3 linked regions of the Sus scrofa genome follow. The protein of the gene in region 2 purifies or fractionates together with the protein of the main gene of each other region. This does not show direct contact. Links are inferred from orthologs where the notes say so. Each region holds a gene or a part of one and is shown on either strand. Other genes may lie near its edges. The genes, in order: LAPTM4A, NEDD4 and LAPTM5.

What was found.
Region 1: the proteins of NEDD4 (region 2) and LAPTM4A purify together in Homo sapiens (affinity purification with western blotting; 3 studies listed by BioGRID). This does not show direct contact. The link is inferred for Sus scrofa from reciprocal best matches to the Homo sapiens genes NEDD4 and LAPTM4A.
Region 3: the proteins of NEDD4 (region 2) and LAPTM5 purify together in Homo sapiens (affinity purification with western blotting; 3 studies listed by BioGRID and IntAct, with this or other methods). This does not show direct contact. The link is inferred for Sus scrofa from reciprocal best matches to the Homo sapiens genes NEDD4 and LAPTM5.

Annotation. Positions count from the first base shown.
Region 1 is NC_010445.4:118,165,345-118,168,992, reverse strand, and holds part of LAPTM4A (lysosomal-associated transmembrane protein 4A), read right to left. Parts: intron 1,490-3,648; coding exon 1,394-1,489; intron 712-1,393; coding exon 613-711; intron 1-612. UniProt on the Homo sapiens protein: May function in the transport of nucleosides and/or nucleoside derivatives between the cytosol and the lumen of an intracellular membrane-bound compartment.
Region 2 is NC_010443.5:116,059,695-116,063,342, reverse strand, and holds part of NEDD4 (E3 ubiquitin-protein ligase NEDD4), read right to left. Parts: intron 3,600-3,648; coding exon 3,526-3,599; intron 3,126-3,525; coding exon 3,065-3,125; intron 697-3,064; coding exon 637-696; intron 555-636; coding exon 447-554; intron 1-446. UniProt on the Homo sapiens protein: E3 ubiquitin-protein ligase which accepts ubiquitin from an E2 ubiquitin-conjugating enzyme in the form of a thioester and then directly transfers the ubiquitin to targeted substrates. Specifically ubiquitinates 'Lys-63' in target proteins.
Region 3 is NC_010448.4:87,388,038-87,391,785, reverse strand, and holds the start of LAPTM5 (lysosomal-associated transmembrane protein 5), read left to right. Parts: upstream 1-1,414; 5' UTR 1,415-1,547; coding exon 1,548-1,634; intron 1,635-3,748. UniProt on the Homo sapiens protein: May have a special functional role during embryogenesis and in adult hematopoietic cells.

The sequences.
Region 1 (3,648 bases), on a different chromosome or scaffold from region 2:
AGTACTTGTATTATTTGCTCCAAGGTCAAGGGCACACCTATGGAGGAGGGTGGCTTTTTTGAACCTAAGTGACTCTCACGTGACAGACTAACCCTACAGAGGCCACATCCATTCCACATGTTGGAAACCTGGGAGGACAGCACAGCGGCAACTGAGGGCCTGGGAGGTAGGCCTCCCCAACAGATTCATGAAATCCGCTGCATTTACCTCCCCAGAGGAAAATCAGCTTCCCCTCTGGATCATACTGATGTTTCCGGAAAGCAACACAAGATTCAGCTGATGGAAGTACGCTGCCTTAGAAGTTCCCAAAGCCAAGAGCCTGGCACTGCTCACAATACTGTCCCCTGTCTGATCCCCCCCTCAAAGTGTGATACTTGGAGAACACTTATGAACCCAACCTATTGGCCAAACTGACTGAGACGAGCAGTGCAGGGTGCCTCTAGCCCGTGTTCTCGGGATTCCAACTGGGAAATGCCGAGACGTGTGAATTTACCCTTTTCCATACCCTAAACCACAGTTACGGCAATGACAAGAAAGTGGAGATCCAGGTGCTCCTCTTGGGAATAATCCACAGTGGCTCCCCAAGTTTTACTATGTTAAAGGGGCCTTCACCTGTGGAGGTGCTTCAAAGGCAGGATACACAGCAATCTCTGGCATGTTTCTGTTGTTGATGTATTTGTAACAGTTCCAAACACAGTTGATTAGATAAGCCTAAAAGAATACAAACAAAATTTACATATGCTGGAAACTCAGCAGACTCGGTGCTCTAAAATAAGCGTCTTAGAGTGCTCTCTCCCGCTTTCTCTACGGAGAAGGGATCTCTATCCGCTTGGACCTAGCGCAGGCCAGGTGCTCCCCCTACCTGCCCTCACTCAAATGTCACAGGTTTTATTACCACTGTGGTTGTTGGCTTGCTTGCTTGTTTGTTTTTGGCTGCACTTACGGCATGCAGAAAGTCCTGGGACAGGGAGGAAGCCTGTGCCACAGCAGTGACAACACGGGATTCCTAACCCGCTGCGCCACTCGGACACTCCTATTACCACTATCTAACAGAGAGATCAGAGTTTGGGGGTTCAAGTGTGACCACTGTGCTGCAGGAGAAATGCTACTTCTGAACCTTGGGAATTTTAACTTATTTTCAATCCTAATCATGAACCATGTCCAAAAGCATAATGATGTTCCTTCCACTTAGGAAGAATCCTGGCATTTCTAACCATTTGCCTGAAAACAAAAGGAAGAACATTCCCTAGAAGTTATCTCTACCACCACGTCAGAATAAACACTCACTCACTGCTGACTGCAAGGAGACAAGGTAAAAAGAAGGCTCAGATGAACCGTGTCACTGTCCAAACGCCCCCACCCCCCACCCCCAAGTATTCAGTCAGCAACTCACCTTAAAAATGATGAACAAGGCAAAGAACACAAGAACAATGAACAGGAGGCAGCTGGAGTCCAATGCCAGGAGGTCGTCTTTATAGGGGAAATCAGGCTATAAAAAAGGAGGGGGGTGAACAGCCAGAGCAGAAGGGATTTTTAGAGCAGGCAAACTCTTCTGTATGACATCATAATGGTGAGTACATGTCATTACACACTGGTCCAAACCCCCAGAAGGCACAACACCCAAAGTGAGCCCTAAGTACACCATGGACCTCAGACACATACACCCTGTAACTCAGCCATGGCGCATGTACTCTGTGGTTACCTAGAGAGCATCTTAAGAATACAAACACAAGGCACCCAAGTCAGAACTGATATTCTAATAAAAACTTATAAACAGAATTTAACTCAAAATACTCTCAAGCCTCATCATTAATGCATGCTATTGATCACTTAAAATGTATGAATACCTAGACTACTCCTCAGAGTCTAAACCGAGCTTGTTTTCTCTTTATTTTATATCTTTCCGGCCTCTGGTCTATCTCCTTTACATGACCCCAGATATGTCCCTGGATCACTGAGTTACTCAGTTGGGAGATGCCAAGATTAACTATTCCGTCCTACGTGGGGAAAATAATTTTTTAAAAGCCAAGTGTCAATTAATTTCAACACTCATCAGAAAGGGACACAAAGAAGGTATGCCCCTGATTATGAAGCCTGGGATTATACTATTTCCTGGCGACATATGATGTTTTATTGAGAAGGATCAGCTGTATTTATTTATTCAAATATTTCTTTAGCATTTACTGCATACATGGCAATGAGCCAGGTCCAGGGAGAAGGGTATTACAAAAGAATAATTTAGGATTTACATACAAGCTGGCCAACAAAGAAAATATTTTCCAGTCTGAGACACCAAGTGAATAAAACAGAAGGGAGAAACCACTGGGGTTCTATAAAAGCAGTAGTAAATTCCTTTCGATGTTTTTCTATAAAGTTCATTTTATTTTTTAAAACATACAATTATTTTAATGGAAATGCCAACACAAAGACCCAAATAACTTTACATTTTCATTAAAAAGCAGCACACAGAAATCCCGAAGGACCAAAAAACAAAACAGAAAAACACGAAAGAAAGAAAAAGAAAATCATATCCGCATACCAATCCCAAACCCTAGCTAAGGGTGTTCTTGTGATAAAACTGTTAAGCCTTCATCTAGAAATCAAAAAGGGTCAGCTTCTTGATTTCTAGAAATCGAAAATGGTGAATGCTAGAAATTTTACTCAGAAGGTTTGCAGATTTTCAGCCAGAGATGACAGATCGGAGAGAACTAAGCTTAGGAAGCTGCTGACCACGGCTGAGCAGGTCTGCAGGCTCTGCCCCGGTTCGTCTCCCCAGCCCTATCTCATGTTGCTCCTGTCCCTGCATGTGGGTGAGGCCGCCAAGGTTCTCCTTTAGTCTCCTGACACTGTCAGCTGCCCTCCCGCCTCCAGGTAGCTCTTAGACAGAACGCCTTCTTCTGCACTTTCCCTCCCCTCAGTCCTATGCAGACTCTGGAGGGCAATTCAAACCTTACTTCCCAGGCCAGGTCTGCTATCTGTGTGACACCCACTCACAAAGCAGCCAACACTTTTCCTTCCCTGCTTTTATCACGATGTTAACTCAATAACTGTCAACTTCTGGAGTTCCCGTTGTGGCTCAGTGGTAACAAACTCAAGCAGTATTCATGAGGACGAGGGCTTGGATCCCTGGCCTCACTCAGTGGGTTAAGGATCCGGCACTGCCGTGAGCTGCAGTGTAGGTGGAAGACGCAGCTCAGATCCGGGGTTGCTGTGGCTGCGGTGTGGGCCAGTGGCTATGGCTCCGATTCGACCCCCAGCCTGGGAACTTCCATATGCCTCGGATTCAACCCTAAAAAAAACAAAAAACAGTCAACTTTCCAATTCTTTCACTTTAAAGTCAGTTTTACTGACACAGCTCTAGGACCTAGCAGAGTGCCCTGCACACAGGAAGCAATCAACAAATGTTTTCTGCGTGAATGAATGATAAACTTGGTGGTATGCAAAATGGACTATCTGAAGTGGGTTTCGAGAAAACAACTCTTCTATAAGACAGCATTTCTGAAATAAACTTTCATTTATCTGGATCCTTCACCTCCACCCAGACCTTACGTCAGGCCAGAGTGCTCCCTGCCCCTCCACCGCACGGCTTTGACCTTCGAGCCTCCTTTGCTGCTGTCATGGGGGGCCCTAATTCATTATCGCAGACGA
Region 2 (3,648 bases):
GGAGCTGTAGCTGCCAACCTACACCAGAGCCACAGCAACTTGGGATCTGAGCTGCGTCTGTGACCTACACCATGGCTCATGGCAACGCCAGATACTTAACCCACTGAGCGAGGCCAGGGATCCAACCTGAAACCTCATAGTTCCTAGTTGGATTTGTTAACCACTGAGCCGTGACAGGAACTCTGAAGGGTCTCTTCTTTAAAGAGGAACAGAAGTGCCTCTGCTGTCACTGCCACTTACTACATTTTCAACATGTTACTTATCTATAAATATGTACGGAGGGTGGGACCATATCTAGAAGGTAAATGTATACAGTACAAAATCAAAGATAATTTTTGCGGGGTGATATATACTTTCTCTCTTATCTATATGTGATCCACACTAGAAGATGTAATATGGTTGCATCTACCGAAAAGCGATTTCTGAAAATGGAAGCTTTCCATTACCTTCCAAAACCACTGGATGACTTGATGATTTACACTGTAGCCATTTTTGTACTTTGTGTGTTCTCTCCAGTCATTCACGTCGACATCTCCCAATCCACACATGAGAAGCTACAAAATAGAAAATGTCAAACCACAAGCAAGAAAAATTGGCACAAAGGTCTTGTTTGAAGATAAGCACGATATTTCTCACCTCTAGTTCATTTTCATCAAAAATTTTGATGAGATCCTGTGGAATCAGTTCAAAAAATCCCTAGTGGAAAGAATATATTTCAAACTCCGGTTAGCAGAGTCAGAGGGTAACCCTGTATTTCAGCTTCGGGCATTACTGGAGAAATCCCAAGGCCACACAGATTCCTACCACTACACACCCGTGGGCTCTTAACTGACAATTCAATACTGGCAAGACGAGATATGTGTCTGTTCTCTCACTGATCCCTCAAAGTGGCCGTTTTAAAACTCTGCACTTTTCAAGCCTCCTTCTCTTCCATATCATCCCTTCTTCACAGCAGATAATATCTATTTTAGAATGAAAATTGAGGCGACGCTGCAGGATGGAATTCCCTCAGCCTTCTGCATCCCCCCAGACCAACCAGCACCAACATCCATGAGGGCTTCCTCCCCCGCCCTGGGGAGAGGGACCACTTCCTCTCAGTGCTTCTTCTGCCTCAAGGATGTCATCTCACGACATTTTTATCAGCTCACTCTTTATGCATCGAAATTCGTTCAAGCCATATCTACCTTAAAAACAAAACAAAAAGGCAAGCCCCTCTCTTTTCTCGTCACAGTCATGTTCTGGACAGTGTTACTGTACCTTCCAAAGCTACCTGCTCACCTCCATCTCTCCCTCAACCACTGCAATCTGACCTCTTCATCAGTGCTCTCCTGAAGCTGTCCTAGAGAAAGTCAAAGACAGCTTTGCAGCTGCCTCTGATAAACACTTTCTAGATCCCCACAGTATCGGACTTCTCTGCACTATGATATTGTTGACAACACCTATGCTCTTGAAACTCTGTCTGCTATTCATGGTTTATCTCCTATGTCTTCATCTGCCTTAGCTGATTTCCACTGATGTTTCTTCTGCTGTTCATTCCTTAAATGTTGGTGTTCTCACAGCCCCCCGTGTGGCCATCCACTGTCACCATTCTTAGGGTTCTTTGGAATTTTCCATCCTGTCTAGTCCACAGTTGCACTACACACATGCAGATGATCCCCACGCTGCCATCCTTTAAATCACCCAATGCTATAGCTCTCCCTTCCTGAGGGCCATTCAGATACACACACAGCTCTCTTCCCACCATCCGGACCGTTTCTCACCCAGCTAGCCTCCGCTGCTAGTCCTGCCCTCCTCTAGTTCACTGCATACCCCTTCAAGAATGATCTGGCCAAAATGTAACACCGAATCCTGGTGTTTTATGTTTAATACCATTTAATGCCACCTTCTTTTCTCACTGTCTGGATTTCAGTGAAAACTATACATAAACAGGCCCGCCATCATCTGGTTCTGCTCAGCTTTCCAGGCTTAGTTTTAGCTCTTTCATTCCTTTTTTTTTTTTTAGGGCCACACCTGTGGCATATGGAAGTTCCCAGGCTAGGGGTTGAATTAGAGCTGCAGCTGCCAGCCTATACCACAGCCACAGCACATCTGCGACCTACACCGCAGCTCACGACAACACTGGAGCCTTAACCCAATGAGCGAGGCCATTACCCTCATGGTACTAGTTGGGTTTTGCTCAGCCACAATGGCATCCTCTTACCAATAAGGTAACTGCTGGCACTTTCTCTAAGGTGTGCATAGTCCGTCTTACTGCCAGACTTCACATGTGCTGCTCCCTCTGCTTAGAGTTGCATTTCCTCCATCTCTGTGGCTGGCCAGTCCCTGCCCCTGCCTCCTCCCCTCCCTGCTCTGGTGTCTACACCTCTCCTCTGCTTACCTAGCACTTCAGGTTCCCTCTGTCCATTTCACCCTTTAGATGCTCTGTTCCTTGACAGCAGGCCCTATGTCTTTTTGTCTTGCATAGCACCAGACACAGAGTCAGTGCTTGCTACTGAATACAGGAAAAAGCATGTGATAAATATTTAACAGAAGGCCTTTATTAGCGTAAGAAATGATGACAGCCTAAATGTCCATCAATTGGGAAGAATAACCTGGGAATTTACATCATGAATAAAATGCAGCTACAAAGAAAGGTCACTAAATATGTTGATCTGTTAAGACCTCCAAAAATATTTGATAAGAGAAAGCAAGTCACAAGCCACCATGGACAGTGTGAGCCCATTACAGAAAGAAGCAAATGGTAGACTCTGCCACCCCTCTAGCACTCGTGTTCCTCTGTTCACCTAAGGTTACATAAGGTGGCAGGAGTGGAACTATAAAAGGTGAGAGGAAACGACAGTTATTAAGGGGGGAGGTCAACATTTACTGTATGGATTCTTAAATGACTGTGTTTTAATTGAACACCTATTCATTTACTATTTTGCTAATACGAAGATATACTTACAAATGGTCTTAAAAAGTAAGCCACATGCTACTTTTTCTCTGGTATAATAGGGCCCAATTATTTAAAACTTATGGACTGGACTGGGAAATTACAGAACAGCAAACAAAAGAAAATGAATACCTCCTTAAAAGCAGCCATTTGCTTCTGGATTCGGTTTACAAATCGCCATTGTATTACAAGACTAAAAGAAACAAAACATTTCATCTTTTCCATAGGAACCAAGAAAAAATGTTAAGGTACATGTATTTTGATTAGAAACAAACAAACAAAAAAAACAAAGGCTAGGTAGGCCCAAGGAAAAAGTTGAATGTAATATGACATTGTGATAAAAAGAGAAAAAAGAGGGAATTTCCTGGCGGCTTAGTAGTTAAAGACTCAGCATTGTCACTGATGTGACTGGTTTGATCCCTGGCTCTGAGAGCTTCTGCATGCTATGGATATGGCCAATAAATAAATAATAAGTAAACAATACTTTTTTATTTTAAAAAAGCAAGAAAACAAAATTGAGACTCTGACTCATTGAGAAAGAAGGCACAAAATTATTTCCCTTAAAGTATTTATAGTTACAACAAAATACTTACTAAATATATTCCTTTTTGTTCTTATTGGTGACAACTATTTCTGATCCACCATTTTTCAACTCATGTTGATGTGTCTAAAATTAAGCATAATACCTTGATATGTTATTTTAGTGAAAAAAATAA
Region 3 (3,748 bases), on a different chromosome or scaffold from region 2:
TGCTGTTCTTGGGCAGAACAGAGCTTTTCTTGCTCCATTGGCTACCCAGCCAGGAAGTGCCAGGATTTGAACCCAGGCATGAGCCTTGGGACCAAGGTGTTAACCACTATACTGTACCAACTTTATGATGCCTGGTCTCAGCAAGGCAAAAAAAAAAAAAAAAAGAAAAAGAAAAAGAAAAAGACAGGCTTGAAAATGAAGCAGGGAAGGGCTTAGCCAGGTCACCCAGGAGCCCCAGGCTTGTAGAGACCTCTTGGTGTCATTGGCAAACAGAAAAAGTTTTGATCAAGTCCCCCAACCACATTTTGTAGGTCCCACAGAGAAACTCCTGCCAAGGAGAGGAGCTTAGAGAACTTTTATAACCTCTCCTGGTGCAGAGATGATGGGCAGCTATAGTGGCCAATCCTAACTGCATGAGCTCATGAGAGGGTGGGACTTCACGGCAGGTCCGGCTGTGTTCTCCACTGGACGTTTCACTTAGCAAGTGAGCTCAGTGTCTAGACAGAACAGGCTTCTGATGGGAATTCTGCAAATGCCTCATGCTCCCTTCCTTTATTGCAGTGTGGATGGATAACTTCTCGTGGGAGAAGGGAGTATACATCCCAGGGTAGATTGCTTAGTAGTCACAGTAGATTAATTCCAGCTTCTCCTAAGAGTGAGGGGGGAAATCCCTGATTGCGCAGGAGCAGTAGGGGGCCTCGAGGCTCACAAAGGAGGGCTTGACTGCAGGTCTCCCAGGTTACTGTGAGGCATCAGTGACCCAGCAGTGGGAAGAGCCTAGCCCAGGGCCTGACCAATAGTTGATGGGTTTGCTCAGCAATTATTCTTGTCCTGGTTCGGACAGAGTTTAGGAAGACATGCTTCTCTCCAAGGCTGGGGGTAGCGTGAAAACACCAGCCCTGAGGGGGCAGCTTCTAGCACCAGTCAAGCCTCGGCTTAAATCCCTATTCCTCTTCGGGTTAGCTGTGTGACTTCAGACAAATCACTTTCCCCCTCTGTGCCCTAGTTTCTTCATCTGTAAAACAGGAATAATAACAGTACCTCCCTCAAAGGATCGAGGAGCGCATCCGGGAACAGCCTTAGAACACAGAGGAACTACTAGACAATAGCTTTTGTAGCCCGACAGGCCTGGGTTGGAATCCTGCCCGCCCACGCTAACTGCTGTGTGATTTGGGGTGAATACCTTGACCTCTCTGGACCTCTGTGTCTCTGGCTGGATGTGGGATTGGTGACAGTCCCTGCTTCCAAGGATGGTGGTGAGTGTCCTGTATATAACCCCTTACCCGCCAGCCCTGGCACGTGGTAGGCACTGATGGTGCGAGGGTCTGCCCTCCCTGGTGGAGCCCCTCCCCAAAGTGGCAGGGGCCGCCTGTCATGCTCGATGGGGCCCTTCCCTGCTGCCCCGCCCCAGCTGTGACGCCTTTGCCCCTGCCTGTCTGAAGGGCAGGAAGGAAGTGAGGAAGGCAGCCGGCGGCTTCCCCTTTTCTGCCCTGCTCCAGGCGCCCAACTCCTTCCCTGCCAGCGCCTCGAGGAGGGGAGGTGGCACCATGAGCACCCGCACGGCCGCCACCCGCCAGACCTGCTGCTGCTTCAATGTCCGCATCGCCACCACTGCTCTGGCCGTCTACCATGTGGTGAGTGTGTGGGCAGCTGGGGGACAGCCGGTGTGCTTGTGAGAGCAGCACCCCTCCAATGGGAGGACCCCCTCTTCGTGGAACCCTGGACAAAGCCCTTCCCAGCTCTGGGCCTCGGCCTCCCACTCTGTCAGAAGAGGGAAGGGGGCCCAGCGGCAGCGGGCGAAGCGAGCAGCGGCGGGAGGAGGGGGTCCTTATTCTAAGCGAATGAATGCAAGTTCGGGTCCTCTCTGAGGCTCCGTTTGGGCCTCGGTGCAAAGGGACAGCTGTGAAGTCTTCCAGGTACAGACGGAGCAGCAGATGTGAAAGTGCTTTGGGAGCCAGAAATCTTGGGAGAAACGCAGGCTGGGATCGTAGCCAGGATATGGGGTCAGGTCACAGGCCCTGGCTTCCCCCCTTCCCCTGGGGCCTGGGCTGCTGGAAGGGACGAGAAGGACTCTCCCCTTTGTGCTTCTAGAGAGGCGGGAGAGGGCAGAGTCCTCTCGGCTTCCAGCTTCTGGGACAAGCCTCCTCCCCACCAAAGACAGCTCCATCTTGCATGGACGAGCAGGGTGACTTGACGGGCCCGAGGTCCTGGGGGGCCAGCCTAGGGGAATGGGCCCAGCGGGTCTCTTTTGGAGGCTGGTGTGCACAGGCAGGTTTGGAGTCTGTGTCATTAACTCAGAATGACCCTGGGGCTGGAGGCTCCCCCTTTGTCTTGGTGCCTGAAGGTTGGGGTCTCTGTTCTGCTTTGCCCAGACCCATCCCCCACTCCATGACTTCGAGCCACACCCAGTTCCCCTGCTCCCCAGCCCCCAACCCTGTGCCTCCCTCCCAGGGTGACTCAGGGCCTGTGGTTAACAGTTCTTTTATGAGCCTGGAAGGGCTTCCTCAAAATTAGCCTAAATCCGGCCTGCTTCGGTGGGCTGTTGTAAACTGCTCAGACCTGGCTGCATCTGCTTCCTGTCACAGGCTGAGCAGGCAGGGCTGTGGCTAGACCCCAGCCTGCAGAGGGCTGGGGCTATTCAGGGCTCAGTGCACAGTCTCTGGATCTAGATTCCTGTGTGCCAAATCCTGGCCTCATCCCTTCCTAGCTGTGCAGCCTCTGGCTGCTTACTTAACCTCTCTGAATGTCAGTTTGTCATCTAAAAAAATGGGCCCGAGACTAATAATGCATCTTTGGTCACTGTGAGGATCAAGGGAGTAAATATATGCAAGGCACGTAGCAGAGCTTGACAGGTAGTTGAGTATTTTATTACTAGGACTGCCCCAGACGCGGAGCCTGCTGCCAGCACACCTGTAAGTCAGCTGTCAGACCTCAGGGCCCTGGTTTGGGGCGGAGCTCAGAGGTTGCTCTGTTTAACTTCTGCCAGTGCAAGAATGATCCCGGAAGACGTAAATGGCACCTTGGCTGTGCCCAGGCTCTTGGCTGTCCCTGGGGCCTCTTCAAGCTTGTGTAACATTTTTGGAAGTGCAGGGTAGCAAGCAGGGGTGTCCCCATAGGATGCGGGCCCCTGGGTCCCTATTGTGGTTGTGCCATTAACTGCCTATGTGACTTTGTACAAGAGGCTCCCTTGGGCCTCTGTCTTTCTTTTTTATTTATTTTTTATTTTTTGTCTTTTTGCCTTTTCTAGGGCCGCTCCTGTGGCATACGGAGGTTCCCAGGCTAGGGGTCTAATTGGAGCTGTAGCTGCCAGTCTACACCAGAGCCACAGCAACATGGGATCCGAGCCGCGCCTGCGACCTACACCACAGCTCACGGCAATGCCGGATCCTTAACCCACTGATGGAGGTCAGGGATCAAACCCTCAGTCTCATGGTTCCTAGTCGGATTCGTTAACCACTGAGCCATGACAGGAACTCCTGTCTTTCCTTTATAGGATGACAGGCAAGGGCTCGTGGACTGGCTCAGAGGTCTCAGATACCCATGCCGCTGGGGCCCCAGCAGCTCATAGAAGTGGGCATAGTAGGGCAGATGGACGCATGGTGAGCTGGGGAGTCTGGTCCGGGTCTCTGCTGGCGGCTGCTCTCTGTTTCCGTTGATTGTTGCCATGGAGGAATGTGGGCCCCAGCAGCTGTTCTTCTGACATTTGGAGAAACAGGAAACGCAGGCTTTTATGTCACAATTTCTGTTG